Tribolium castaneum: one gene and its partners. The protein of the gene in region 1 binds, or shares a complex with, the protein of each later gene. Links are inferred from orthologs where the notes say so. Each region holds a gene or a part of one and is shown on either strand. Other genes may lie near its edges.

The links.
Region 2: MED4 (region 1) and MED8 share a complex: the UniProt entries of both Drosophila melanogaster proteins name them as parts of the mediator complex. The link is inferred for Tribolium castaneum from reciprocal best matches to the Drosophila melanogaster genes MED4 and MED8.
Region 3: MED4 (region 1) and MED7 share a complex: the UniProt entries of both Drosophila melanogaster proteins name them as parts of the mediator complex. The link is inferred for Tribolium castaneum from reciprocal best matches to the Drosophila melanogaster genes MED4 and MED7.
Region 4: MED4 (region 1) and MED23 share a complex: the UniProt entries of both Drosophila melanogaster proteins name them as parts of the mediator complex. The link is inferred for Tribolium castaneum from reciprocal best matches to the Drosophila melanogaster genes MED4 and MED23.
Region 5: MED4 (region 1) and MED1 share a complex: the UniProt entries of both Drosophila melanogaster proteins name them as parts of the mediator complex. The link is inferred for Tribolium castaneum from reciprocal best matches to the Drosophila melanogaster genes MED4 and MED1.
Region 6: MED4 (region 1) and MED18 share a complex: the UniProt entries of both Drosophila melanogaster proteins name them as parts of the mediator complex. The link is inferred for Tribolium castaneum from reciprocal best matches to the Drosophila melanogaster genes MED4 and MED18.
Region 7: MED4 (region 1) and MED31 share a complex: the UniProt entries of both Drosophila melanogaster proteins name them as parts of the mediator complex. The link is inferred for Tribolium castaneum from reciprocal best matches to the Drosophila melanogaster genes MED4 and MED31.

Annotation. Positions count from the first base shown.
Region 1 is NC_087397.1:1,783,945-1,788,153, reverse strand, and holds MED4 (mediator of RNA polymerase II transcription subunit 4), read left to right. Parts: upstream 1-2,111; 5' UTR 2,112-2,233; coding exon 2,234-2,301; intron 2,302-2,351; coding exon 2,352-3,045; 3' UTR 3,046-3,307; downstream 3,308-4,209. Other genes in the region: beta-PheRS (phenylalanine--tRNA ligase beta subunit), read right to left, coding at 1-2, 51-211, 267-322, 375-432; uncharacterized protein LOC661495, read left to right, coding at 771-1,039, 1,087-1,730, 1,780-2,012. UniProt on the Drosophila melanogaster protein: Component of the Mediator complex, a coactivator involved in the regulated transcription of nearly all RNA polymerase II-dependent genes.
Region 2 is NC_087396.1:15,800,686-15,805,473, reverse strand, and holds MED8 (mediator of RNA polymerase II transcription subunit 8), read left to right. Parts: upstream 1-1,419; 5' UTR 1,420-2,503; coding exon 2,504-3,022; intron 3,023-3,068; coding exon 3,069-3,434; 3' UTR 3,435-3,527; downstream 3,528-4,788. Other genes in the region: CTD small phosphatase-like protein 2, read right to left, coding at 4,309-4,374, 4,425-4,520, 4,571-4,788. UniProt on the Drosophila melanogaster protein: Component of the Mediator complex, a coactivator involved in the regulated transcription of nearly all RNA polymerase II-dependent genes.
Region 3 is NC_087402.1:3,009,234-3,012,953, forward strand, and holds MED7 (mediator of RNA polymerase II transcription subunit 7), read right to left. Parts: upstream 1,661-3,720; coding exon 1,469-1,660; intron 1,422-1,468; coding exon 948-1,421; 3' UTR 933-947; downstream 1-932. Other genes in the region: cass (apoptosis inhibitor 5), read left to right, coding at 1-378, 427-580, 629-702; small ribosomal subunit protein eS10, read left to right, coding at 1,989-2,429, 2,479-2,514; RING finger protein 141, read left to right, coding at 2,681-2,820, 2,866-3,087, 3,135-3,278, 3,377-3,542. UniProt on the Drosophila melanogaster protein: Component of the Mediator complex, a coactivator involved in the regulated transcription of nearly all RNA polymerase II-dependent genes.
Region 4 is NC_087394.1:35,203,273-35,208,388, forward strand, and holds the start of MED23 (mediator of RNA polymerase II transcription subunit 23), read right to left. Parts: upstream 3,333-5,116; coding exon 2,919-3,332; exon of another isoform or gene 2,874-2,918; coding exon 1-2,873. Other genes in the region: stress-associated endoplasmic reticulum protein 2, read left to right, coding at 4,737-4,820, 4,879-4,989. UniProt on the Drosophila melanogaster protein: Component of the Mediator complex, a coactivator involved in the regulated transcription of nearly all RNA polymerase II-dependent genes.
Region 5 is NC_087399.1:8,910,795-8,915,339, forward strand, and holds part of MED1 (mediator of RNA polymerase II transcription subunit 1), read right to left. Parts: intron 2,041-4,545; coding exon 58-2,040; 3' UTR 1-57. UniProt on the Drosophila melanogaster protein: Component of the Mediator complex, a coactivator involved in the regulated transcription of nearly all RNA polymerase II-dependent genes.
Region 6 is NC_087394.1:9,285,808-9,289,630, forward strand, and holds MED18 (mediator of RNA polymerase II transcription subunit 18), read left to right. Parts: upstream 1-1,910; 5' UTR 1,911-2,068; intron 2,069-2,119; 5' UTR 2,120-2,121; coding exon 2,122-2,790; 3' UTR 2,791-2,823; downstream 2,824-3,823. UniProt on the Drosophila melanogaster protein: Component of the Mediator complex, a coactivator involved in the regulated transcription of nearly all RNA polymerase II-dependent genes.
Region 7 is NC_087401.1:17,494,669-17,498,679, forward strand, and holds MED31 (mediator of RNA polymerase II transcription subunit 31), read left to right. Parts: upstream 1-1,908; 5' UTR 1,909-2,347; coding exon 2,348-2,360; intron 2,361-2,403; coding exon 2,404-2,511; intron 2,512-2,568; coding exon 2,569-2,897; 3' UTR 2,898-2,954; downstream 2,955-4,011. Other genes in the region: uncharacterized protein LOC656943, read right to left, coding at 1-816, 869-1,077; uncharacterized protein LOC103313299, read left to right, coding at 3,831-3,860. UniProt on the Drosophila melanogaster protein: Component of the Mediator complex, a coactivator involved in the regulated transcription of nearly all RNA polymerase II-dependent genes.

The DNA of each region.
Region 1 (4,209 bases):
TTCTACAAAAACATTACAGTGCCAAAGTCAAGGCAAAACTAATGACTCACTTCCCCTGAAATATTTTAATTCCTAATGAAATGCCTTCAAGACACAATAAATCGTATCTGTTTGCAGGAATGTCAATTCGATAAATGACTTCCTCGGAGGCTCCCGCCGCCTGGGCTGAATCCTCCCCTTGTTCCTTACTTATCATCTGTTTTTCAGTTGTCTTGAAATTTAGGGCATTATTGCATCATTTTATCGCTTGAAAGATTAATACTTACGACTTCGTCCAGTTCAAGACCGAACTCGAAGCATAAACGCTGGAATTCATCGTCGGCTGGAAATTGCAAATTGGGGCAATAAGGGGGCACAGTGATCAAACAACTTACTGAAAGTGCGCCCAAGGGCTTCGAATAGCAAATTGCGCTTGACACCCACAGTCGGCATTGTATTTTTTATTTACTATCACGTTTTTGTCTAAAAATGAACACGTTTAAAGTGTTTCACAACTGAAAAAACGATGACATGTGCGGGACCTGTCAATGTCAAAAGTTGAGGTTGGGTCAATTGTCAGCATCAGCGATCAGTTTTCGAGAAAAAACGCCAGTTTTTAAGATTATTTAACAATTAGTCTTCGTCAGAACTATAATCGGAACATAATAATGCAAATTTAATTAATTTTTTCCCACAATATTTTTTTTCGCCGGTTGTATTGGCACACCTGTCAATTGCGAGACGTAGCGTTTCTTATAACCTTAAAGTTACTTCGCCCAAACAAACAAAAAATGGGCTCAAAGAAGAAGAAGCGCGTTTCCAGCAGCTCCAGTTCATCAGATTCAAGCAGCGAAAGCTCCGATTCATCACCCGAACGGCGCCCGAAACGTAAAAGCAAGAAAACCGAATCGAAACCTGAGACTGAAGAATCGCCGAAGAAAACCAAAACGAAGGCAAACTCGCATAAAAAACACGAAACTCCGCCTGTGGCAAGTGACGAGGCGAATAAACAGGCAAAAAAGAGGGACAAAAAGCCAACAAATGAGGAAGAAACCGACAGGTATGATTGTTGGTGGTTTTAAGGGAAAATACTAGTTGTGTTTAAAGGAAACGCAAGCGGAGTCCTGTGCCTGAAAATCGGGACAGGCGGGAGAGGGACGATAAGAGGGTCCGGGACGATCGGGGGCGGCATGACGACAGGAGAAACCGCCCCAATGACCACCGTTCTCACGATAACAGGTTCAGAAACCGGCGTCCTGATTACAGAGACAGGGAACGGGATTACAGGAACCGACGGGACGATAACAAAAATTACCACAACCGGGAGCGAAACAGAGAGAACCATCCAAGGCGGCGTAGCAGAAGCGCCTCCTTTGACCACTCGAACGCCCGTTGGGGCCGCGAGTCGGACGACAAAAAATCCGACAAGAAGGAAAAAGACCAGAAGGAAAAGCAAAAACCGAATTTCGGTCTTTCGGGAAAACTTACCGAAGAAACTAACACTTATCGTGGCGTTGTTATAAAATATAGCGAGCCGCCTGAGGCTTGCAAGCCGAAACGTCGGTGGCGGTTGTACCCTTTTAAGGGCGAAAAGGCCCTTCAGACTTTATACATACATCGCGAAAGCGCCTACTTGATTGGGCGCGATCGCAAAGTTGTTGATCTCCCTGTAGATCACCCTTCGTGCTCAAAACAACACGCAGCTTTGCAGTATCGCCTAGTCCCTTTCACGCGTGAGGATGGCACCACTGGTTTGTGGGACAGCTGGTAGTGTGTTGGGTTTTTCATTGTTTTTTTCAGGGAAGAGAATAAGGCCGTATTTGATTGATTTGAACTCGGCTAATGGGACTTTTATCAATAATAAGAAGATAGAGCCGAGTAAATATGTGGAGTTGTTGGAGAAAGACGTGATCAAGTTTGGGTTCAGCTCAAGGGAGTACGTTTTATTGCATGAGAATAGTAAAGATGAGACACAGGATGACGATGTGAAGCAGGAAGAGCCGGCGGTTCAAGTCAAGAGTGAAGAGAATTGAATTTTGTGTATATATTTTAATTTAGCTTAGGTTTCTTTCAATAAAGTAATTTTTTCGATTAAAATTCCCGCTCTTACGATTTAGTTATTCTCTGGGCAGATGGCATCGCAGTGTGCGCGTTATTTTGACATTTGTGTATTTGAGGTTGTGTTCGAAATAAAAACTGTTCAATTGATTATTTCGTTTAATATTTAAACCCGTGAGTGTTTTTCCCCATCATTATGTCGTCTCAAATGAGCACGAAGGAAAAACTCCTTTACATCCTCGACGATATTGAGTTAATCTCCAAGTACGTCCCCCTTTCGGGTCATTTCGTATGGTTTTATTTGCGTTTTTTAGAGAAATAATCGAGAATTCAATCGCCCCCAAGCACCTCAAGCTTTCCGGCCCTGAATACGCTCAACTGACCGAGCTTTTGGTGGCCAAAAACACCGAACTGACTGAAACCCTTAAACTGGCCGCTGAACAGGCGCAAATCGACAAAAAAATGGACATCTTGAAGGCCGAAGTGGAGCGTCAGGACAACGACATTAACAACTTGCAAAAACAGCTCAAAGAGGCCGAGCAAATCCTGGCCACTGCGATTTATCAAGCCAACCAGAAACTCCAGTCCATTTCCCGCGCAAATAAACGGCCGGTCTCGTCCGAGGAACTTATCAAATTTGCGCACAGGATTAGCGCGTCTAATGCGATATGTGCCCCCTTGACGTGGCAACAGGGGGACCCGCGCCGGCCGTACCCCACCGATATTGAGATGCGGTTGGGGCTGCTGGGGCGGCTGATGAGCGATCCAATTAACGGGCATTTGTTGCAACAGCAGAACAGTTTGTCAGATTTACATAGACAGGGGCACCCGGGGGAAATACCCGCCGCGCAACAAAATCAATTTGCATGGCATCCCTCGGGGGAGATTCACATGAGTGTGGGGCAAGGGAGTGTCCCGATGGACACGCGGAACCATAAACAGGAGACCGAGGATGTGGAGGTCATGTCCACGGACTCCAGCAGCAGTTCCTCAAGCGATTCTCAGTAGTTTTGTGTTTTTTCCCTGGACTTGATTCATCATATTTATATAAAAAAATTAAGCGAGTTTGTGTGGAGAGTATACCATGAGGGGAAATAAAATGATAAATCAATAGATTGAGGCGGCTATTTGGGGAAAAAGTCTTGTCTGCTTATCTCATCAATCAACTCTTCGTGACAGTTTAGATAAGATCTTTGTTTGCGTCTGACGAATATTGTTTTCTTATGTTTGTTTATAATGGAAGGAAAATAAAACACATTTCATTGTAATACCAACGTCTATTATTTAATTATTCCCTACAAGCTGAAGTGATTCAAATTTATTGTTTGATGAAATGATAATCACAAAAATGAAGCAGTTTCTCATTTTCTGAAATTTCTAAACAACACTCACTTTCTATAAAAACAAGTTTGTTGTTTTGATTGCGTCTTTATGATAGGTACAAATTTACAAGTAGGTTTTTTGATTTAAATTTTTATCGGATATGTGAGTTTTTTATCACAGGGTCGTAGTGTGATAATTTGAAAATTAAACCGCGTTATTACAGCAGAGCTAGGGCTGAAAAACGAGAGAAAGTCACCGAATATTATCGATATTCTTAACAATGACATTATCGTATCACAGTATCGATAATGATAAGTTTCCAACTGTAATCAATTTTTCGAAATACTTTAACAAACGAGTTATTTATTGTCATTATTACGCGATATGGGTATCAATAAATCAATAACATACAGGCGACTCATTTCCAAGGCTTGATCAACTGGTGGTGCTTGAGCTTAACAATGCACTTTGATTAAACAACGCTTTAATGAATATCGACAATAACTGATTCTTTTTTAACAGCTCTACTCCCATTATTACCATGTGTTAAGGTAGTGGCGATGCACTTATTGTAGAACAGCACAAAGTGTCTCAACTTTCCAAAAATAATAGTACCTTTGCAACAAACGGAATTTCTCTTGTTACCTAATTTACTCAAATATCAAGAAAAATACTCTCATTTGATTCGCCTAGAGCACGTTTTCAAAGGACTGGAAACGTAATGAGAGTGAGCTGGTAGGGCTCAGTACAGCAGACTGTCATTACGTACTTATAAATAATCGGGTTTCTTATACACTTAACTTTACAGATATATACAGTACCACATTTTCCGAACTGTCAATTAATTAT
Region 2 (4,788 bases), on another chromosome or scaffold:
ACGTCTAAAATTATAAAAGTTTCGCATGCAGTCAATGGAAAAATAAAAATGCATGTTTTTATTTAAACAGAAACTGGCAATGTGAAAGTTTGGTGCGAAAATTAGTGGTATCGCAATGCGTATAACCACATTGTTTGTTTGTTTCGTTTTGTTGAAAATTCGGTAGGTTCCAAAAGTAGGGTTATGTTGTCACCCGAAAATGACAAAATTTACACTTTTATGAATTTTGTCTCCATCTCTGCCCTTTCAGAGCGTTATGATAGGATATTTAGGGTCGAAATCTCTACCTTTATTATGTGCTATTGCCAGATAAGGACAAAAGTTCAGAAAGTAGGGTTAGGGTGTATTATGATCTCTTCTGAAGTGTTAAATTTTAACTTTAATGTTTTTTGTGTGCTTTCCTGCTCTTCTAGAGCGCTATTAATTATTATTGAACATGTTTAAGGACAGACAAATCTACCTTGAGTCAACGACATAAATTTCAGTGAGATTTATTGAAAAATGCACTTCTCGTGTCAACCTTTTCATGAAAAAGGGTGTTTAAACGTTTATAAAGGGTATGTTAACGTGTGTTGTTAACTTTACCACGTAATAAAACATAAAGTATAACTTGGTAATTTTTTACTTTAACTACTTCTGGATTTTCAAGCTGAAACTTACACCAAACGATTCCTCTGAGTGCCCTGATGACCGTACACTATGAATTTTCTTGTGCAAATTGAAAATAACATTAGAAAAATAATTTTTATTTTCACTCACTTTTTACTTGAATCGCCATTTTTGTTGATTTTAATTTGAGTTTATTTTTTATAATATCACGTTAATTTTTATTATTATAGTGGATCAAAATGTCGTCTTTAGGTTAGACTATTGCCTACTATCGGTTAGGAACAACATGATCTCCAAAAATATAACGTAGTAATGAGCTCCAGAAGGTTTACGTAGATAGGTGCGTTTTTCCCAAAAGTGAGTTTTTTGAGATCGAACCGCAAGTGAGTCACACTGCGAGGAGACTCCCATAGACAGAAGTTGCAAACATAAGGTGCCAGACCGGTGCCAGTTTGGCTGATTGCAAGTATGTCTTTATCATCGATTCGGTGACGACTATTAGTTTCGTAAACTTAATGGATTTAATAAATATCTTTAACATTAAATGTGATCGTGTCATGTTGGGTAAAATTCTTCCATCTGTGCTGTCTGTGCATCCACCTTTTCAAATACAATTAAGAAATTTTCATAATAATTGTATTTGATAAGGTATTGGCATCATTTTGACGTGAGCAAAAATTAAAAAAATATAAAGTAATCGGAATTATTTTAAATTCGCGCCATTTTTAGTACGTGATGATGCGGCTAGATGGCTTCAGCTAGGAATTCATTGCCAACCATTATGTTCCGCTTCTATTAAAGTGTTATTCTAGGGCCACAGCCATTGCCGTCTCGAACTCCAGGCCGTCAGGTTACTAGCTTTTGTTTATTGTGACGTCATCGTAAGAGTCGTGACATTTGTTCGCATCGTTTGAATATATTGTACTTTTTGGTGTTTTTGAGAGTGTTATTAAGTAATTTGTTGTTGTTTACGAATTTGTTGTTTTGTGGTTGCGTTGTAGGGAATGAATTTTGTGTGTTTATAGTCTTGTGTGACGTGATTTTGACAATTATAGGTTAGGATAGTTTTGCATTATTTTTGTTTATAAATTTGGTTTTATTGTTTTTAATCGTTTAATTTGGTAATAAATAAGCAGATAAGGCATATTTCAGTCTCTAAACCTAACATACTTAATCCTATTGCATTCCTAATTTTAGAAAATGCCGAATAAGTGTTGTGTTCCCAATTGTGTGTCTAACATGAATGGTCCTTATGTACCTATGTTTTCCTTTCCCAAACAAGAATCCCTGCGATCATTATGGTCAAGAAAGATACCCCGAACTAATTGGACTGTTACCAAGAACAGTCGTGTTTATGTGAAATATTTTCGGGATGATTTTATAATAAAATATCACGAAGTGACTAGAGATGACGTAAAATTCTTCGTCATATTCTTATACTTTCGATCACACTTTTACGACTAATTTAAAACATATTTAGCGAATAATAACATGTTGCATTCCATAAGAACCTGTGTTAAAACTTGGATAAAACGGTCGTCTTTAAGTCGCGGTTATTCAAAATTTAGGCCCATAAGGAGAATTTTTGTATTAATAGACGTAACTTTAGACGTTTAAGTACGGCTAGATGGTTTAAACTATCAAAAAATATAAACTTTAATATATGTTTTTCGGGTAATAACAAACGGATAAGGTACTTTAAATCACAACGTATGTCACTATAAAAATTATAGTTGACCGTTCGTTGACCACATTTGCAGTATCAGGATTCTTTAGATACACTTTTCCGTCGTTTCTTGCATAAAACGTTGGACGCAACATAGTTAAAATTAATTTTTTGCAAAAATTCAGAAAGTTAGGTTATGATCATTTAGACTCTTACTGTGACGTCACAATGTCAACATGCAGGCCTGGAGTTCGAGACGGCAATGCCACAGCCGACATACCGTCATCGTGGTTAAGGTTATGTTTTTGTAAACAGCGCCAAAAATACAGCAAAATGCAACAACGGGAAGAAAAACAACTCGAATCGTCTCTCGATTCCATAATCCAGCGTGTCAACGACCTAAAATCATCGATAGCTTCAATGATTTACAAGGTGGAGAATGAATATGAGACCCTCAACTGGCCCACATTTTTGGACAATTACGCCCTTATGTCCGGCCAACTCACCTCCCTTTCGAAGGTTTTAAGCCACGACAAATGCCCCACCCTCAGAAATCTCACAGTACTGCCCCTCATGTTGTCCCCCGAGCGGGACGAACAATTGGCCCAAATGACCGAACACAGAGTCACAACCTTCGCCCATGATTTAGTCCCAGATTATCTTCGAACCAAACTAGAACCGTTGGCGGAGAATAAAATGATGCAATTGGAACACAAGGCGTCAACTTTATCGTATGAGAACGCACAGGTATGTTAAAATTTTTGGTAGAGTATGTTTCAACGCAAACTTTCAGAAACAAATTGCTGCGTATCAAAAGGTTGTGTCCCACGTTTGGGAACTGGTGAGTAAAGCGAGGGAGGAGTGGGAAGTTGAGTCTTCCGCCAGGGGAAGTACGCAGCAGAATTCCAGTGTGGCTGATACTCACTCGCTTGTGGCGGCTGTTGGAATGGGGAAGGGACTCAAGATGGGGGCGAACCCTAACGGTCAGCCCAATCCCACGTCGGGAGGGATGATGGTGCCTCCGCAGGGGCGCCCAGGGGGCACTCCCGGGCAAGGACAGATGCCCCCCAGCACGCAAACCATGACGATGAATAAGGCGCCCTCTGCTATTAAGACTAACATCAAAAGTGCCACCCAAATACATCCATATGGACGCTAGTGAAATAGTTTTTAATGTGTACGGAGATATATTTATTTATTAAGATATAATCTTACAAAAATAACTAAATATAACAGTGGAAACAAAGATTAACACTTTGTAGCGTAATGAGTAGATTATAAAAAGCATTAATTTTATAGACTTTGAAACTATACTATCAACAAATGGTTGAAGTGTGGCTGGTCGGAACGGGTGGCTTTTCCAATAAGTACAGCGGAACTTGAACATTTTCACGATGTATGTTAGCACATGCTACGCATTATATAAAATATAAAACATATAACATTTAGAATACTTGGGACCCAGTCAAACAAAAATTAACAACTTAAAAAAATATTTTCTACAACGTAACGCGGGTGACTGGACCCTGTTTACGTATAATACGCATTTAAAAAAATATAACAAACAACAAATAAAATACTCTTGTGCATAAATTGCAACTATTCTATGGTCATATATTTTCCTTACATGGCAAGAGAATTTTCCTAAGTTTTTGTTCCCTATATACAAAGTGGTACAATAAAAGAATTCAACTCTTTATACTCTCTAATTTGTTAATATACTTTTGTTTCTTAAAATACTGACCAACAATTCATAATTATATACAATCTAGGTTCTCTCAATTTTAAAACCAACCTCCAATTGTAATAATTTCTTTCATATTGCACAATTAAATCACCGACAAAACACAACAGTTGAATAAAACGGTTACTTATAAAATAATGTATAAAAGACGTTCCGAAAGGCACCTCCAGTTGCGTCATAATTTAAAGAAACAACAGACGTCAGTCAGTACTTCAACGCAATGGGACTCAACGAAAACAAACAGAGTATTACGTGGGTATGAGATTGTCTATGCGACTACAGCTGCCAATTAATCGGGGGGTAAGTAGCTGAAGAGTTTGAATTTGTTGCGAATGTGTGGCCGAACATCCTCTTTCTGCAAGATGAAATATTGGGTTTTGCCCAAACAATTCAAAATTTGCTTACCATTTGCACAAGATCTTCTAAAAATGGTAACAGTTTCATAAGTTCCGAATCGGTCCTGTCCACGAACCAACTTTCAATAGGTATGCCGTTATTAAGCTTTAAAAAAACTATCAGTAAACTATGCAACCACAAAGACAAAAACTTACATGGTAACCAAAGGCTTGTGGTGAATTATCAATAATGATAGTCTTGGAAAGATCTCTGCCTAGTATCGAAAGATCCTTAATGTAGTTGCCGTTGACACACACGCAATGCTCCCGAAACAGCCGATACTTGATCCACTTCCTTTCCGGATCCAGCAGATTCAATAATTTATCGGCATAAACTCGCTTCGAGGCCGTGAACAAGATCACTTCGAACATTT
Region 3 (3,720 bases), on another chromosome or scaffold:
CTGTACATGCCAACGCCTCCCGAAAACGCCGATGTGTACAAAATGCCCAACTTGGAGTTCTCCTTTGTAGAGTGTTTGTTGTTCGCGTTCCATCGCTTGGCTCGACAGTGCCCCGATTTTCTCACTCATGATCCCCAAATATTGAAAGATTTCAGAGCAAGACTGGTTTATTTTTCTAGAGGAGTGCAAGGTTGCAACAAAGTTCTGAACTCGAAGCCGATCACAGGCCTAGATTCCGTGAACGCTTCAAAAGCCAAAATTGCGCCCTCGCTACTCAACAACATCAACGTTTTGATCAAAGACTTGTTCTACCAGCCCCCAATGTACAAATGTAACGTCACGCTTTCTTTCAAGCAGGAGGTTGTGGAAAAGGAATTGGTGGGATTTTCGATTTAGTCTTCTAGTCTTTAAAATTAAAATTTGCAGAGGAAACCGGCCACAAGTGGGCAAAAAAGACATGTGCCTATCACGTTCGATAATGGCTCTACAGGGACTAAACAGACCCGACCGGCTCGTTCGGGCGACAACGTTAAATTGTATACACCACCTAGTGGAAAGTTTAGTAATAACTTCCAATACGGTAAATTTTATGGGAAAAATGTCTATTTGTTTTAATGATTGGTTTCAGATCGTGGGGGTTCACGAGGTAACAGGTCGAGAGGCCGTGGCTCCCGAGGAAGGGGCAGAAATTGGAGAAATTAATTTCAATCACCCTTCTAACAGTATTGCAGAAATGCAATTCAAATCATTATGTTCAATGCTTATTAGTAAGTTATCAAAACAATACACAACCCGCTTGTGTTGTAAATACCCTAGATCTTATTTTTTTTAATTAGTTCAAGTTAAAACGTGTGCTGGTTTTAATAGTTTGTGTAAAACCTCTAGAAATTTAACAGAATATGTTTTCTATTGTCTTAGAGTTCAATAAAACATTTGGAAAACTAACTTTATTGCATATCATCCACAATCTTGCACATAATCCTATCCAAAATAAAGCACGGGTCTGATTTGTTGTCCTCCTTTGAAGCCTTCTCTTGGTTTACTAAAAGTTCGGTTTCTACGAGCAACTTTGAGTCAACTTCCATGGGTTCAGGCAGGTTTTGAATCGCTTGTTGCAAAATTTCCATAACTTTGTCTAAATGCTTCTGGAACCTATTGGCGGTCTCAATCCTTTGTCGCCTTTGCAACTCCATCATGACCCTAAGCGTCTCCCTAGCCTGATGTGGCCGGAATTCGTTCAACAAGTGGTGAATGTGAATAAATAACAGACTTAAATCTTCGACTTTCTCAGCCCGCTTTGGCGAGTCGGGACAATTCACAAGTAGGTCTAGCAAGTCCAAGAAATTGGCCAACAATGACTGATTTAATTTTTTCAACTCCCTTCGTCTATCAAAGTGGAGTGGATACAAACGTTTGATTCCCTAATAAAATTATTAGTTTTAACCACGGGACGTATTTAGGGACTTACTTGACTCTCCAAAGGCCTGATTATGCTCTCTTCGGTATTGAAGGCATTGCCGAACATATGATACGTGTCTTGAATCGGAGGCGGCGGCCTGGGGGTTCGCCCCCGCCGGATCATCTCGTCCGTGTAGTGGTTGATGTACTGCATGGGGGGCAGTGGCAGGGAACTCACCTGGATCGCTTCCGACGATGCCATTATTTATTTTAATACAATAATTAAGAAAAATACAGTTGTTGACAAACGACAAATGTCAAAATTACATAAAAACCATCACAAAAACCTAAAATTACTAGTTTATTGGCAAGCCTGTTCCTTTTTCAGTTTGACAGCTGTGGTAATACCGCGTCAAGTAAGCTATTTTTTAAAATTCGTATTTATCTTAATCATCTTTGTAATAAATTTGACGAAAATCAATCACAGATCATTCTTTTTTCCTTTATCGTGAATCTTAGCCCTTTTTGTGGAGTTTAATTCACGTTAGGGTTTGACATGTTTTATAACCTCAACCACGGTTGATTTTAGGATGTTGATGCCCAAAAAGAACCGGATCGCGATCTATGAATACCTCTTCAAGGAGGGCGTCATGGTGGCTAAGAAAGACACCCATGCCCCTAAACACCCCGAATTGGAAAGTATTCCCAACTTGCAGGTGATCAAAGCTTTGCAGTCTTTGAAATCGAAGGGATACGTTAAGGAACAATTCGCCTGGCGGCACTATTACTGGTATTTGACAAATAACGGTATTGAGTACCTGAGGACCATTTTGCATTTGCCGCCTGAAATTGTGCCCTCAACGCTCAAGCGACAAGCTAGGACCGAAACAACGCGTGCTCGTCCCACGCCATTCAAATCAGAAACTTCCAGTAAGCCTGCCGAAGACCGTGCCGGATACAGGCGGACTCCCGGGGGGCCTGGATCTGATAAGAAGGCTGATGTGGGGGCTGGCACCGCTGATTTGGAATTTGTAAGTTATGGTAGGGGTTTTTGACGATTTTTACCACGGTTTGTTACAGAGAGGAGGCTTTGGGAGAGGAAAAGCGCCCCAATAAATTAAGTTTTTTATTACAATAAGGCATGATCAGCAAATAAAACCTTGTCGATCGTTAATTGTTTTATTAATTCCCTTTACTCCTGTATAGAGGACGCCATTATAGACGTCATTGTGACACTTGTCAAAATTGTTTACAATAATACATGTGATTAATTCGTGTAATAATGGGACAACAGAGTTCCCAATTTCACGAGTATTTTAACGATATAATCACGGATGAGCCCGTGCTTACTTTACTCTCTGAAGAAATTCATACTCTTAGTTACGAGAAATTTTTGACAATACTTGGGGAACTCAACCAACTGTAATAACAGTTCCTGTGTGGTTGTTATTCATTGTACTATTTTAGCTCCAAACAGCGTTTAGATTCCGAGGGGAAACAGTTAGTGTTTGCTGTAAAGAAAGGGACAGATTCTACAGTTTTCTGGAAAGCTACGGTGCAAATAGCTTGTGTTAAAATTGACTCTAATACTCAAAAAGTGAGTACGTACCGACTGTTAAACCTTTATGAGTTTTTAAAAGTGTTCAAGACACTTAAATGTCAGTCTTCAGCTGAAGAACAGAGCCGAAAGTATGACTGTTGAGCTAAAGTTTTTTACTGATTTAACTTTTTATTAGTGGAATGTCCGTCTCACAAGTGGTTCACGATATTACGGACAGTCCTGCAGAGAACACAAAAGAATGTTGCATTTGTTTAGAAAGGAAGCATGAAGTTATTTTGCCCTGTATGCACAGTTACTGCTTGCCGTGCATTGAGGAATGGTTTGTTTTTTTGAACTTGATCAGAAATCGGAAAAAAATGTTATTAAAAATCAACTATGATACTTTTGTTATTCAAGTAACTGTTAGATTTTTTTAAGGAATGCCACTCATGACACGTGCCCGATTTGTAGAGAAAAACTGGAAAGTACCGATGACACATGGGTTATATCTGAGGTGCCAGAAGCAGAAGAGATTAGCAAAGAAATCAAGTCCAGTTTGATGGAACTTGCTGAAGACAAGGAATCTCCATGTTTACCTTCTTAATAGTCTGACATATGATTTCATGTTGTTAAATGTTATTTTACGAATTGATAAATACATCTCAAAACATACTGTGTAGTTATTTATTCACGTCAAAAGTGGCGCGATCTATAGGTTCACCAATACCACGACAGAGAAAACAAAACCTAGAATAACACTTATAGAAGCGGAACATAATGGT
Region 4 (5,116 bases), on another chromosome or scaffold:
TTGGCCACGACGTCTAGCAAACCGTTGGCTACGGCCACCGGACCGGCGGACAACGCCATCAGTTCCACACAGCTGGTGTAAAGAATATGAGCCCCGGCGTTTGGGAACTCATTGAACCGCCAATCAATTACGGAATTGGCAGTGGCGCCCCCTAGAATATCAACGACTCGCTTGACCACTTGTATGTAATAGTCCAGTTCGGGGGTCCACATCTCGTCAGCAGCTCGTCCGAGGTACAGTTGGTAGGGCTCCGAAAGACTGTCTTTGAGTGTCCCTAAGACAGCAGCCACCAACCGTCGTTTCAAAGGTGGACGGTCCCTAAGCCTAGTCTCGTAATAGTGCAAAGTGTTGTACAAATAAGTGACCGGACGGTCATGAAACTTGTACAAACAACCCAAGTGTTCTAACAGAATCTCCAAACTTTTGGTGACTTGCGGTATTTCCAAAAACCGGTGCACCACTATATCAAAAACCGGCAAAAAGCGCAAACACACGTTGCCAAAATAGGGGTGGTAACCACTTGACTGTTCCTCGGGGGCAAACTTCTCGGGGTATTTCCGGTGAAACTCCAAGTGTTTCTCGTGCCAGTTGGTCTGGTTCCAATGATCGGGCGAGTTGTCTTTGACGAAATCCTGCACCCGATTCCTAAACTCTGTAGCTTTAAGCAACACCAACTGGATGATGAACGAACAGACTTGAGCCTCGCTCCCTTCCTGCGTCCGCAGCGCCAAACACAAGACCAACCGATCGATTGTCACAATATTGTACTTCCAGATCATGTCATTGATCGTATCCACGCATTTGTTAACATGTTGCCCCCCAGGACTGTTACTAAACTCGAACACGAGACAATCACAAAACTTCCTCAAGTGGGCCGAAAGCGCCCTTGCCCCAATCCTCTCCAGGATTTTGTAGGCAATTGGCGTGATGTGATCAGTCTCGAGGAGCATTTTCCACAACAAACAGAGGAAAAGTGGGGGCGCTCCCGCAACCCCAAAATGCGCCATCATGTCATTTTCGTTGTTCATGGACGACCACTTCCGGTACTCCTCCTCCACTGCTTTCTTCAATTGTTGTTTGTTTTCTTTAGGGACGGCATGTTGCGTGAAAAACTCGGCCAGAGCCCTGGGGAAGCATTCGAGGGTGTGGGGGGCCCACGCATGGGGGGTACTTTGTGCAATGGTCGCCAGCAACTCGTGACACCACGAGCCGTCGGCCCCCGTCACGTGCGTGGCCCTAGCTAGGGTCAAAACCAGCGCCCGATTCAACTCTTCCGATTCCGCCGAAATTAACGTCTTGGGTTCGGCTAAAAAGCGGCTCAGTTCGGGCTGAACTTCGCCACTGCCCAGCCCCGTGATTAGACGCAAAGCGGTCGATTCGACACATAAGTGCAGTTGGGTTTGGTTGGCTTGCGGCACCGCTGCCAACGAATGCAAGTGGCTGAGTAACTGGACACGGTAGTGGGGGTGGATGTGGTGCATCCGATAACTAAACATCTCCAGAAGTGTGTAAAGGGTGCCCCAAGCGTGTGACTTGTATACGGTTGGCAACAACTGGCTTATGAACCCTTTGATGCCCAACGATTCGATCTCGGTGTACACCAACAGGCGACTGTACGTTTCCACCAAAGCTGGTGATAGTGGCATTCCTAACTTGGCCTGTGCTAGTTTAATCACGTGTGTGACAATACTATGGATTAAGCTCATTTTCGAATGCACAGTTAATGAGTCCAAGACGGCCATGCTTAAAGGCGCGGTAGGTGGGGCTGTTGATTTGGGGCTCCCTTGGATCGTCTCAACTAGCGCTGCCATTGGCTTACTGTAATAATCGGGGTTCGTTGAGTAGGCGTTGCACAACAAGGCGATTCTGTAGTCATTTCCCATCGCTAACACGGTGTTATTAGGGGGCACCAACTGTTGGAGGAAATCATGATGGTTGCGTAGTTTGGCGGGAATTGGCCAAGTCAAGTTGGTCATTTCGGCTTGCGCTTTCTTAGTCAAGTGGATCCAAATGCACGTCATTGCCATCTGTCTCGTACACTGGGGCTGGTTGAAGTCCGGAACGGGCAAAGGGGGCTCCTGTTCCGGAAACAACAGTTCGTAAAGCCGCAAAACTGGGAGGAAATTCGAGAGGGGGTTCTTCTGAATCGAACCGGAAATAAACTGCAAGAGGACCCACATGAGTTGGTCGCGCCCTCTCCGCAAGTCGCGCCCTTGCAGTCTCGAATGCAACGATATAACAATGTTTGGGAAACTCGCAAATTGGAAAAGAACAAAATAAATTAACTGGGACGACAAGTGCAGCCATAACCCTTGAGTGGCGCTCTCATCGCCCTCATTTTCCGTGCGTTCCAGCGCCAAAATCACCAACTCGACCAGTTGTTCCTCAAGGGCGGCACAGTGTCTCTTGTGCTGTTTCTGCAACCCTAACATGCCACACACCATGTCGCGACTGTACGGCTGTTCCAGAACGTATCGTAATAAACCGGTTTGCTTCTCTAGTAATTCGGGAGCGTACGGTAAAGTGCCCTTAAGCGAGAATCGCAACGTGCACGGGTCAAGTTTCCAGGGATTGACCAAGTGTTCGGGACAGCCGCTGTGCTCCACAACTGGCCGCATTTCCGCCTGGCCTACGATAGCCACCATTTGGGCACAGGCCCGAAAACTGCCAACGTAATCGGAGAAGAGGGCAGCAAGGCGCCAGTGGGGGCAGTCAGGGTAGGCCTTCTGGAGCTCGTTCACTAGGAGATAGCCAGGCAGGAGGCACGCGTTCCTGTCCATGATTCGTTCAGCGACGCTTAAAAGAGCCTGGGTTTGGGGCTGCAAGCCCGCGTTCAAGCGCCAGGGGAGACTTTTCGCCTTCTCGCAACATCCCTACAATCAACAATCAAACAATTACCACAACAATTCCCCACTTACTTTCATAATTTCGCGAACGCCCTTGTATTCAACCAAATCTATAATTTTCCGCACGAGTTTAAAGCACTCGATCCAGAACCGCGCATTGGTGTGTTGTAGTTTATCGAAATTCATCACCACCTCACACACGATACGGGCCCCAATGGTACCGTTGCGCACGACACTTTCCAGGAGCTCCATCAAGAGCTGGAGCTTGCTTTGGGAACATAGTACAGCAGTGTTGAGGTACTGGCGAAGGGCGGTGTCTAGCTGCTCCTGGGGGATGCTCCGCAGGGCTGTGTTCAACTCTTGTTGCCATACAGCCACCTTTTCCTTTTCGGCACTGGGGCGGTGCACTAGAAAGCAACTAAAGGCTTCTTCGATGCCTTCAACTTTGAGAATGTCGGTTAGGACGTTTGTTAGTGGCTCGCCCATCGTGTCCACGGTTATTTTTCAGGCGAAAACATTATTTTGTGGTTATTTGAATGGGATAATAACGGTAGGTTATGTTTGGCCGACTACATGTTTAGGCAACACATTATACAAGCGCCTAACACTGCAGAACCGTATTCGATTATTTTGACTTGCTGGGTGAATCCTCAGAGATAATAAATAATTGCGTGCGTTGTAAGATGTTATCAACTCTCAAACAACGTCAATCTAAATTATTCCATACCTAGCCACATTGTAATAAAATTCATATCAGCCCGAATCTATTCGTTTATTTGCATATCCACTTCATACGTGAAAATTTGTTTGCTTATCTTTTAATAAAGGCAATATTATTACCGCACGTCTCGTTCATTATGCGCTTAAAGAGTTCTTTTTGTCTCACATTTCGATATGAACTCACAGTTCATAGAACAGGTGAGGTGTCACTCATTTAAATCGTTTTAATTTATTTGTTTCTTCTCCCTAGGTGCAAATTTTAATGCACGCTCAACAAATTAAATGTGCGGAAAGTATTTTTGGGAAATCAAACTACATGTGGCTTTGCAGCAAAAGAACTCCCGTTATTTGGATGTCGACGAAAGATGAATTCTTAATTCGACAAGCCCTAACAAAGGTACAATTTAATTGTTGCAATTAAACGTGCAATTATCCTTCTTTAGGTCACTCCTGACCAACAGGTGAAAGTTATGAAACAATTATTGACTTGGCTGGATAATAATCCCGAAGTCCACTCTTTGAAAATCCCTGAAATGTCGCTAAAGCTCCTCAACAACATGGCTAATGCCAATGCCATGAATGAAAGGACTTTTTCAAGAATGAATAGTTTCAGAAACAGTCTGAGACGCTTGTCCTTAATTACGAACCGAATCGCTCCCGCAAACACACCCAGAAGATCCGTAACTTTCAACGACGTTCCCATAATTTACCGCATAAAATACTGACAAAAAAGTAACGAAACCTTTACAATATCTATGTAAAATTTGTGCCGAAATAAATGCACCTTAAAATTTTTGTTTTTTGAAAAATCTGAGTTAAAAATCAGGGTAAAAAGTCAAATTCAACGTTGTTTTTGATGTTTGAAAAAAATGCATAGAAGATAGGAAAATGACCAAGAAAACTAGGCATATACTTGATTATCATAAATTATTGCAAATTGAATGAACCCATTGGAAATTTCTAGCACTCCCTCCCTTGTTTGAAATTCTCCACGCGTCCGTGGCGCATGCGCATTTTCATCTTACGTGTCAAATAAACGTCAAAAAAGCGCCTCCCTTGCCCCTCTCCGCACTTTTCGGGCCAGTGTCGAGGCACGGACGTGTCAAAAACGCGTGTGTATGTTTTTCTGTTGAATTATTTCCACTTTTCCGTATTTTTTTCCTGTGAACGATGGCTCCCAAACAGCGGATGCGTTTCGCCAACGAAAAGGCCAGCAAGAACGTGGTCTTGCGAGGGAATGTGCCCAAATCGTCGGTGAGTACGCTGGACCATATTGTTTGTTGATGGGGAGCTGACGGTGCCCCTTTTGCAGAAGCAGCAAAGCGAAAACTCGCCAGTGGGGCCCATGATCTTGGCGCTGTTCATCTTCGTCGTGTGCGGATCGGCGATTTTCCAGATTATCCAGTCCATTCGGATGGCGTAGGCTAGGCTTCCCTCAAAGGCTCAATTCCTATCGTGTATAAACCGTGTCTGTTCAGTTATTGCATTTTGTTGTTTTCTCTATACTTATTTTGTAAATTTATCGTTTGTGGAATATAATTTTATCAGAA
Region 5 (4,545 bases), on another chromosome or scaffold:
CCTCCCTATTTACACCGAATTTGAGATTAGGTCGTGCCCTACCTTACCGGCCGTGTCCTATTTTCCTATACCTATCACCGCCTCGTCCATCAACTCATCGTCAGTGATACACGGCGAGGCCGAATGTGGACTTGGTGCGATCAACGGCGACGGCGCCGGTGACTTAACTATATGAACACTAACCGAAGGCGATTGGGGAAACGTAACCACGGCTGCACCCTTATCGATTTTTCCGGCCGCCGAAAAGTCTAAAAGCACATCGTCGTTCTTCTTCACGTCCTTTTTATCGTCTTTGGGGGCGGGCGCCACGAACTTCGACGTCAAATCGATGCTCTTCGTGTAGAGGTTGAGGGGTTCGGAAATGGGCGGGAGCACCGATTTGGACACCGCGATTGGATAATTCACTTTATAGGCGGAGTCGTCCTTGGTCTGGGCGAGGTTCTGGGGTTGGTCCTTTTTATCGTCTTCGTCTTTCAGTTTTGGACTAGAGCTAGGGAGGGGCGTGACGTTGTTCCTCAATTTGACATCGACCGCATTGTCGAAGGTTTTTTGAGGGAGGGCGAGGGGGTATTTGAGGTCCGACTTGTTCATCATATCGAAGATTTTCGTATCGACAGTCCGATTGATGTTGTTTAAATTATCCGAACTTACTTTCGGTTTTTTGTCGTCGACTGATGCACGTGCCGATAGTTTCGGTATTTGGAAATTTTTGTCTAATTGACGCACTGTCATTAAACCCTCGACAATCGAAGGTGGGTTATAATGATCCATTTTCGACATCTTGTAAATACCGTCACTCTCGTCCCTGTTTGAAGTCGGACTCGATTTTCGGCCATCCTTCGACGTGAAAATCGACTTCTCTGAACTGCTTTTGTTCAGTTTTGGGCGGTCTTTTCGGCTCAAATCGGTCGCACTTTTCGGTGAATTACTCAGTTTTGTTAGTTTCGAAGGCCCGCTTGATAGTTTAGCCCCCGAAGGGGCTTTACTCTTCAAACTTGAATAATTGGGGCCACTTGTCGAATTTACAAGTTTTTGCCCCAAATGTTGGGGTTTTTTCGACGCAGGGCCGCTGTTAACCCCCGGTTTTAACCCCGTGTGAGTTTTGGGCGACCCTGAGCCTGATTTACTCACACTTGTTTTACTTTCTTTACTTCTGGTTTTATTTATTGTGATTTTCATGCCGTCCGAACTGGGCTTAACCATATATTCCGAATTTTTCGTTTCACCGATTTTCCCACTTTTTCCCTCGTTTAGTTTCGTTGAAACTTGCCCACTTCTGTCTTTGTTTCCTCCACTACTAGCCCCCTTGCTACTCAAATCGGTGACTCCATCGCAATGTTGGGCCGACTTTAACTTATCGACAATGGCAGACAGTGAGCCTTTTCGGTTCCTCACTTGATTCGAAGTCGCTGATTTTGACAAGTCCGTGGAACTGGGTGACGGTAACCCGTCCTGAACCCCGCTCAAATTTTCAGTATTCAAGTCCAACGGTTTCACTTTCACTGATGATTTATTTTTCGACGCAACGTTAAACACACCCGAAATTTTTTTCTCCTTGTCTCTGGACGAATCCTTCGAGGTGGATTTCGTCTTAGAATCGGAATTTTTCGGTGAGTTCGCGGCACTTTTCAATGTGGACATGCTCGGTTTACCGGAACCACTCGTCGAAGGGTGTTTGGGGGAAGTACCGTGGCTTTTAGGACTCGAAATACCGGGAATTATGTGTTTAGGACTACTGGGAACATGGGCTGGGGAGTGTTTAGGACTGTGATGCGATGAGCCCGTTTTGAGAGTGGGTTTCATTAGGTTGGGGCTTAGTTTACCACTCATGGAAATATTGCGATTTTGAGTGGGCGAAGCGTTGAATTTTCGCATCATGCTGGGGCTTGTTGGGGTGCTCATGTTGAGGGGCGGAGACTCGGCCGGTTTTATGCTGACGGTGACCGGTTTGGTGAGGGGGTCCTGCTTCGGGGGCACCTTGTCCGGGGGGCCCATCGGGCTCTCGTCGCGTTTTCGCTTACGCTTCTTCTCAAGACGCCCCTTTAACGGGAAAATCAGGAAAAAATCGTAAGTGAACAAATAAATCAACAAATTTGTGAAATTTTATCGAAAGCGGGTCAGGCCTGCTAACCACAATAAAGAAATTACTTTAAAATACAAAGATTGGAGCCGGAAAAGTTTTAGCAGTTTTACAAAAATCTTGGGTTTTTAGCTCAAAAATGTGCCCAACTATGCAAAAAAGGCAACAAATAACAGCATAATTTTGTGATATTTCGAATTGTTTTGGACAAAAAATTGCGTTCCTGATTGCAAAACTTACTGAGACATGTAATTTTTGATTACATGATGGTTTTCAGGTTGTTAGTGACATTTCACAATATATCTGAGATTTTTAATTAAAAAAGATAAATCTTCGTTAAAATTTTTTGTTTTAGTTTGGCGTAATTTTGACAAAATTTCGATCGCAATGAACAAAATTGAGTAAAACAGCCAAAATACTATGAAATTTCAAGTTATTTTGTGATTTTTTGACGTGTTTGATCAAAATTTTACAAAACAAATAAGTTTTAGGTCTTAAAACGAAATTAATCATTCGAAATAAGCTATAATACCAATTTCGATCTAATTACTTGCCTAAAACAATATACTCATGAAGAAGGCAAAAATAACGCCACTTTCGGCCTGATTTGGCGATTATTCGTTTTGTTTTTTAATGAAATTTTGGTAAAATAATATAATTCTCCATTTAGTTTGTTGAGTTTTTGGTTAGTTAAAAAAAATACTTAAAAAAAACTTGCTTAAACGAATGAAAATTTCGCTCAAAAACGAACTAACTCAAGTAAGATTGTTTAACTTGTTGATTTCTCGGTCAGTTTCGGTAAAACACAGTTCAAAAACTTGCTTAAACCATCGAAGAGATTAAAAATAACAGTTTTTTGTTTTGTTTTTCTGGCTTATTTTTGACTCAAGCACTTTGAGCTATATCACTTGAAATAAATAATATCATAAACTCGGATGCGTGATTATGATTTTTAGGCAAATTCTGATGACTTCATGCAAAATAAAACAGTATCTAATTCAAACACGAACTAAATAGATACAAACAATTTTAAATAAATAAATGAATTTCGGTAAAATTTGGATATTTTCAGCTATTTTTTGCAAGCTGTGCTTAAACGCCAGATAAAGGCAGAATTAACACAATTTTCGGTTTAATTTTGTCATTTTTCGATTTGTTTTTACCGAAATAATAGCGTTTTTGACTACATAAACCTGCTGAGGCGCTCAAAAAAGGCAAAGATAACACTTCGATAAAAAAATACGTATTTTCGATTAAATTCTGATCAAAATGAAGAAAAATGAGTGAAACAGGCAAAATACCATTAATTTGCATTTATTTTTGCGTCTTCTAGATATATCTTGACAAGATCTTACAAAACAAATAAGGCTATCTGGTCTAAAAACGGATTACCGAAATAAGTAAAAATGACAATTTCGATCCAATTTTGGTGATTTTTCACAAAAAAAAACAAAAATGTACTTAAATACGTGCAACTATGGCAAAAATAATACCCTGTTCGTCCTAATTTGGTGATTTCTCAGCAAAATTTAATTCAAAAACTTGCTAAAACTTTCGGAAGGGGTAAAAATAACATACAACACATTTTTAGTTGTTGTTCTGGCTTATTTTTGACACAATTTCGTTCAAAAACAAGCTAAATCACGTGAAAAAAATAAAATACCATCAATTCGATGTGTTTTTGTTATTTTTAAACATGTTTATGGCAAAACAAAATGAGTATCATTTGGTTAATCATACACTAAAGTGAGAGAAATAATCCAAAATAACATAAATTTGGATCACATTTAGTAAATGTTTCAGCCAGGTTTGGTGAGCTTTTCGTAAAAAAAGTGTCTTTAAACACAACCAAATTCTGGAATTTTTCGGTTTGTTTATAACAAAAATTTACAAAATAATTGCGTTTCTCCCGTAAAATTTACTAAAACAAAGTAGCCAAAGATTTATGTAATTTTCGCTTGTTGATTTTTCGACCTATTTCAGCACAATTTAGTTCAAAAATTTGTTTAAACTATCGAAGAAGATAAAAATAACACTTTTTTTGGTTTTCGTGGCTTATTTTTGACACAATTTCGCCAAAAAAAAAATTTCAATGAAACAAATAAAATAACATCAATTCTGGCTTATTGTTGTAATTTTTAGGCAGGCTTATTCAAAACAGGTGAGTACTATTTTCGAACTAAAACGAAGAAAATAATCTAAAACCTATAATCTATACCACAAAAACCTGTTTAAACTGCTAGTAAAACGCGTAGAAAACGTTTTCGACCCAATTCTGTAATTTTTCAGCTAGCAGTAAAAAAAATTTGCGAAATAATTGCGTCTTTGCTCGTAAAACCTATTAAAACACTTGAAAAAGGCCAAAGATTGTGTGATTTGTTGATTTTTCCACCTGTTTCAGCAAAATTTAGTTCAAAAACTTGCTTAAACAACCGAAGAGGCTAAAAATAACAATTTTGTTCGAG
Region 6 (3,823 bases), on another chromosome or scaffold:
AATCGTTTATAAAGGTCGTGTTAACGTGTGTTGTTAAGTTTACCACGTAATAAAACATAAAGCACAACTATTCTATAAAAGCATTTTGCAAAATTCTTATTCATTATTTTCACTATTTTCCCCCTTTCCATTGTACAAACAAGCCGATAATGTGAAATTTTAGTGCAAAAATTAGTGGTATTGCCACAAATTGTGTTAAATTTAAGTCTCCAGAAAATTCGGTTTTAAAAGTAGGGTTATGTTATCATTTGGAAATGTCAAATCTTTCATTTTTTGGATTTTAGTGTCCGTTTCTGCTCTTTTAGAGCGTTTATAACTATTATTCAATATGTTATAGGCAGATAAATCTACCTTTGGGTCAACGACATAAACTTCAGTGTGATTTATTGAAATGTATATAGGGCAAGAATGAACTTTTCGTGTTAAACATTTTGATGAAAAAGGACGTTTAATCGTTTATAAAAGGCATGTTTAGGTGTGTTAAGTTTGCCATATAATAAAACATAAAATACAACAACTTTTCTATAAAAGCATTTTGCAGAACTCTTATTTATTATTTTCACTATTTTCCTCCTTTTATTTGTGCAAACGAGCCGGTGATGTGAAATTTTGGTGTGAAAATTAGTGGTATCGCCACAAATTGTGTTAAATTTAAGTCTCCAGAAAATTCGGTTTTAAAAGTAGGGTTATGTTATCATTTGGAAATGTCAAATCATTCATTTTTTGGATTTTAGTGTCCGTTTCTGCTCTTTTAGAGCGTTTATAACTATTATTCAATATGTTATAGGCAGATAAATCTACCTTTGAGTCAACGACATAAACTTCAGTGTGATTTATTGAAATGTATATAGGGCAAGAATGAACTTTTCGTGTTAAACATTTTGATGAAAAAGGACGTTTAATCGTTTATAAAAGGCATGTATAGGTGTGTTAAGTTTGCCATATAATAAAACATAAAATACAACAACTTTTCTATAAAAGCATTTTGCAGAACTCTTATTTATTATTTTCACTATTTTCCTCCTTTTATTTGTGCAAACGAGCCGTTGATGTGAAATTTTGGTGTGAAAATTACTGGTATCGCCACAAATTGTGTTAAATTTAAGTCTCCAGAAAATTCGGTTTTAAAAGTAGGGTTATGTTATCATTTGGAAATGTCAAATCTTTCATTTTTATGGATTTTGTGTCTGTTTCTGCTCTTTTAGAGCGTTATTAATTACTATTGAATATGTTATGGACAGATAAATTTACCTTTGAGTCAACGACATAAACTTCAGTATGATTTATTGAAATGTATAAAGGGCAAAAATGAACTTTACGTCTTAAACATTTTGATGAAAAAGGGCGTTTAATCGTTTATAAAGGGCATGTTAAGGTGTGTTAAGTTTACCACGTAATAAAACATAAAGTACAACAACTTTTCTATAAAAGCATTTTGCAAAATTCTTATTCGTTATTTTTACTATTTTCCTCATTTCCTGTAATAACTGATTCGCCCTTCGGAGGCCATTCTGAATACTGTAATGAATTTTTAAAGATAAAATTTGCGAAATCGGAAAATTTTAAAGAATCTTTAAAAATTCATTAAGGTCCCAAGGGGTGTTTGTCCGAACATGATTTTTAACAGTCAAAGGCCCTATCGAAGAGCTTAATCTCCTGCAAAAATAAAGAAAATTGCATATAAAGGGGGTGAAAAAAAATCAGTTTGCATTGCTTGAATATGAGAATAAAAAATGCAGAAATTAAATACAGTTAAGTTTTAATTTGTAATAGAAACTCATTACAATGGTCAGGAGATGTTCTACAAATGTGTTATGCAAGTCAGCGTAACAACTTATTGATGTTTTTATAATGAATTACGATTATTTTGATAATTTTCCTGGTGTGAACTTGGCTGTAGAAAACGAGAATGGTGGGGAAACGGTGCTAGCTCCATGCGCGCAGCCCTTGTCTGGTCGACTGTAATTTTCATGGTGCCACCACCATTTTTGGGGCTGTCTCCGCCGACATACACTGACAACTTACACTTCAATCAAAACATAACCTCCAAAAACTGTGATAATCTTCAGTAATTGTCGGAAATAGGCCGTTTTCCGCAAAGTGATTGTCACTGTTACAGAAATGGGGACTCCTGGCACGGCCATCGACTCCCTAAACGCCGCCCTCAAATGCAACATAATCCCCAACCAGGAGTACCTCCTCCAGGGCTCAGTCTTGGACCAATACGTCGAGGTGCTCCTCCACCGCTTGCGCGGGCTGTGCGACAACGTAGACAGCGGCCCTGAGTCGTTCCACGACCACGAATTGTGTTTCACCCTCCGGGCCACCAACCCAGGGGCCCCCATGGTGCTCCCACTGCGAGTCCGGCGAGCCCTCGACGTGCCCGACGCCGCCTGGCAGCTGCGCTACGTGGGGCAACAGGAGCTAGGCGACAAGAACCGGCCAACAGTCGTCAGATCGAGTATTGACATGGCTTGCAGTTCCACAATTGTTGAATTTTTGACCGAGCTTGGATGCAGAGTGGATTTTGAGTACATCGCCCGGGGGTACATGTTCCGCAAAGGCAGGATGAAAATCACAGTGTCGAAGATTTTCAAAATGGGGAGCATGACGAGTAAGCCGGGCGAAGGCGTAGAAGCGATTTCCCAGAGTTATTTAGTTGAATTGTCCGTTTTGGCCCCGAGTGGACAAGATGCTATTGCGGAGGATATGAGAATTTTTGCCGAGCAGTTGAGGCCGTTGGTTCAGCTTGAAAAAATCGATTATAAAAGACTTGGAAATTTACCGTAATTTATTTATAAATAAAATACAATTAAGATTTAACTAACAACAATCTATATAGCCTTGAAAAATCCTTAAAAAATATTGCCAAACCTTTCCCTAAAACCCTGAATATGTCTTTTTATACTTTTTTAAATAAAAAAGTTAGGGGGTGTCTACTAAAGTGATGACACCTGGTATTTTAACTACTTTCCCAAACTTTGACTGATATCTTAAAAACTAACAGCAATCTACACAGCCTTGAAAAATCCTTAATAAAATATTGCTTAACCATTCCCTAAAACCCTGAATATGTCTTTTTATACTTTTTTAAATAAAAAAGTTAGGGGGTGTCTACCAAAGTGATGACACCTGGTATTTTAACTACTTTCCCAAACATTGACTGATATCTTAAAAACTAACAGCAATCTACACAGCCTTGAAAAATCCTTAAAAAAATATTGCTAAACCTTTCCCTAAAACCCTGAATATGTCTTTTTATACTTTTTTAAATAAAAAAGTTAGGGGGTGTCTACCAAAGTGATGACACCTGGTATTTTAACTACTTTCCCAGACTTTGACTGATATCTTAAAAATTAACAGCAATCTACACAGCCTTGAAAAATCCTTAAAAAAATATTGCTAAACCTTTCTCTAAAACCCCGAATATGTCTTTTTATACTTTTTTAAATATAAAAGTTAGGGGGTGTCTACCAAAGTGATGACACCTGATATTTTAACTACTTTCCCAAACTTTGACTGATATCTTAAAAATTAACAGCAATCTACACAGCCTTGAAAAATCCTTAAAAAAATATTGCTAAACCTTTCCCTAAAACCCTGAATATGTCTTTTTATACTTTTTTAAATAAAAAAGTTAGGGGGTGTCTACCAAAGTGATGACACCTGGTATTTTAACTACTTTCCCAAACTTTGACTGATATCTTAAAAATTAACAGCAATCTACACAGCCTTGAAAAATCCTTAAAAAAATATTGCTAAACCTTTCCCTAAAACCCCGAATATGTCTTTTTATACTTTTTTAAATAAAAAAGTTAGGGGG
Region 7 (4,011 bases), on another chromosome or scaffold:
AACGCTAAACGGGTTGTCATAGAAATGTTTACGGCCTACTTCAAGCGCCTCCCCCCAACTAATCACATTGTCGTTGTTTGACGTCACGTGGTAGACTTGCACGTCACGTGACGGTCCCGCCCCCTCCTTCCAGCCAATCAGGAGAAGTGAATTAATCGCACTGTCAACTGGTACGATATTTGCCTCCAAATAAGGGTCACAATGCATTGATCGAATCACTCCTTTACCCGCCCCTACCAATAATCCTGTTGGTCCATTTAAATTATCAACCCAACCAGGAATTGGTTCGCGCCAAGCGGCCGTAACAATCGACGGTCGAGTGATAACCAAAGGTAACTTTGATTTGTATTCACTCACCAATTGTTCGGTTAAACATTTAGTATAAGCGTACGTGTTTGGTGATTTTTTTAGTAGTTTTGGAGTTAAAGTTTTTAGCGTTTCGTCGTCCATCCAGGTCACTAGATCTAGGATTTTTCGCGGGTCATGTGGCGCATTGTATAGTTTTTCCTCAAGTTTGACTTCATTGCAATGACAGTATGATGTTGACACATGAATGAAAATTTTCAATTGTTTGAAACAGCACGCCAGATCTAGCAAATTTTTTGTCCCTCCTGTATTCAATAGAACCGCGTTTTTCAACGGTTGGTCAAATCGCACGTTGGCAGCCATGTGAAACACCAATTCGACGTTATCCGTTAAAGTTTTCTCATCATCGTTTGATAGATTTAATTTAGTTTGGGTAATGTCCCCAGAAATGCAGTAAATCTTATTTAGTAATTTTTCGCCGTCGGGTTGGTCACGCAACTTATCGAAGACCTAGCCAAAAAGGCGTGTGATTTAAATTTTGACAAGTGATAGACATACGTACAGGACAATTGATGATATCTTCAAGTCTTTCGTTAGGTTTTTTCCCTTTTTTTGGACGAACTAACAAATAAATTGTTGATAATTGAGGACATGAGCGTAGTAATTTCTCGATTAGTACTTTCCCCATAAAACCAGTGGCGCCCGTGATGAGGATGTGTCGGTTTTTGTAGAATTCCGCAACCGCTGATTTATTGCTCATTGTTGAGAAACCTCAAAAACGATTAAGAATTGATTTATTTGCGTGTTGTGTAACGTGCACGCCACTGGTGAAAAAGTTAGGTAATAGGACAGTGGCGTACAAGGAAATGTCAAACACGATTTCGGCAAATATTTGATTGTGGACACAGCACTTGTGATAAGTAGCCGCGTAACAATACACGAGTTTTTGCACAATTGCTTTAACAAATAGAAAAAAATTTCAAAATAATGCAGTGAACTTTTTATGAATTTCGTCAATTCTCATTAATACATTAATAAAATAATAAGTAATGTGTTTCCATTAAAATTAGCAATGATAAATTACTGATATTTACTAAATTAAACAGTGAATTAATTATTGCATCAAATTTTTTATAAAACAAATGATCGAAAAATGAAGCAAAATCATATAAAAGGGTGACTTTGTTTTTTATTTTAATTATGATTACCAAGAAACTTTAATTTAATTAAAAATTGTAAAAATCGAAAAGCATTTTTTTAATTAATTCTTTACTTAAAAAGGATTTAATAGTAATAATAACTGATAATAATTAAACCGTAATTACAGTAAATTAAAAAGAAATTATGATTTTTAAACATATTTGAGACTAAAAACGCTAATCAGGCGTTAAATAGCTGATTAAATAATTAGAAAATTGTTAAATTAATTAATGAAATAATTAATGATAAGATAATTCAAAATTACAATAAATGAGCCAAAAAAAACGCGATTAAAGTCCTCACTTTAAATTTTTTATTGATCCCGCAAAAGTGAAAAGAAAAAATCTCGACTTACTGAAAGGCAGCAACAAAACAATAAAATTGTTCACACACAAAGCAGCAATGTTTTGTAGACAAAGCCGCAACCCATCCACCTGTTTTCATACAAATACCATTACCATATACCACCACCATGGGAATTTCCATGAAAATTCCTCGTGTTGGGGATCATTATGTTAGTCAGTTATTTTCTTATTGGTGGTCAATTTCCCGCTCAATTAAATAACTGGGCTACTTTCACCAGCGATTGATTTTTCCACACGCTTCTTACAACATGTACCGTTTCGATCCGATTTCTTATTATTGAGAATTGAATTACGCAAGAATAATACTTTCAATAGAAGAACAAGGGAATTTGCCAAGCCTCTAATGGTCGCTTTTCTATTGTTGTTACTTGTGACATTTTAAGTGCACGCTCTTACAACACGAACTTGCATTTATCCTAATTGATTAATTAAAAAAATTCGAATTCGAATCACGCGCCATTTTATGCACAACAAACATGGCTGGGAAAGGTAAGCGTCCTTTAATTAAATTTAGGTAATAAACAAGTTTTAGGCTGGAATTATATGTCAGGGGCTCCGGAAACCGACGATCAGCAAAGACTCCGCTTCCAGATTGAGCTAGAGTTTGTGCAGTGTCTCGGAAATCCTAATTATCTCAACTGTAATGACGTAACCTCACTTTTTCGGGAGGGAAAAAATACAATTTTTTGCGTTTTAGTTCTCGCACAGCGTGGTTATTTTAAGGATAGTACGTTTGTTAACTATTTGAAGTATTTGCTTTATTGGAAGGAGCCCGAATACGCCAAATATTTGAAATATCCAATGTGTTTGTATTTTTTGGATTTGTTGCAATATGAACACTTCCGGAGGGAATTGGTGAATGCTCAGTGTTCGAAATTTATCGACGATCAACAACTTTTATTGTGGCAACACTACACCAGGCGGAGGAGTCGTTTGTTAACCCCTTCGAATGTTAACGGGACAGGTGAACAAAGTATTAACCAGAATAGCCAAAGTAACGGACATTTGAGCAATAAAATCAGCTAGGTAGGGTACAAATGTGATTTTTTGGTGGTTAAGTGAAATAAATTATTTTTTTGTTTAGTTACATAAATCACCAAGATCCCACCAATTGCACCAAAATCCCACCCATTTCCATCCAAATCACAATTGATTGGCTGTCGCTGTAATTAAGGTAAGTTCCTTGTTTTTCCTTAAAAATCGTAAAAAATGCAAAATTTGTAACAAACCTCAAAACCAAAAGTCCCTGAACCCGCCCCGCCAAATTCAAATACAAGTTCCGTTTCTCGACCCAATTGGACTTAACTGTACACGAAATCCGCTCGACTTTCATACACCAAAAGTGTACTTGGCTTACACGATTTGTTTATTAATAATTGTTGACATGGTTCTATTAACAATCAAATCAATCATTTCGTTTCGATGCGTCCAACAATTAAAATGAATTTTTTCAAAATAATTTTTGTCGTTATTGTGATAATTTTGTGTGCTAGTGATGCGAAAATACGCAAGAAAAATACCAAAGGTTTGATTTTGCGGCAAAAAGAAACGAATGCGATTAATTTTCTCAGGTAAAAAAATATTGTATCATACAGGATTTTTATGGAAGTTTGCAGACTGGCGATTATGAGGCTTGTATATGGGGTGGCTACGCGATTGGGTTTTGGCGAACAAATCGCAGTGGCCTTAAATGGGGCTTTTGTGCCTCCGGGGGTTGACGATTACGATTATGGGGGTGATGATTATGGGATTTTGGACAGGGATGACGATTACGACTATTAATTTATTTTGTACAAATGTTTAAATAAAATTATTTTATCTAATCAAAGGCACCATGATTCATTCGTAGTCATAACCAACCATTATTTGTTCGTAGACAGTTGGTTTTTTCACTGAGCACATTTTCTTGTTGAAATCACGCAAAAAAATGAATGAATGTTTGTGTAGTGCATTTTTGTGATGATTCTTTCGCCAGATATGTCATTGAAGGTAAGCATGATTTTATTGATTTTTTTACGATTTATTGAGGTTAGAATAAACAAATGAGTGGAAGTGATGCGGCAACTCGATTCGCAGAACTGTTAAAAATAGGATAAGGAATGTCAAGGATGACGTGATTGTCCGCATTTAAAGCACTGGG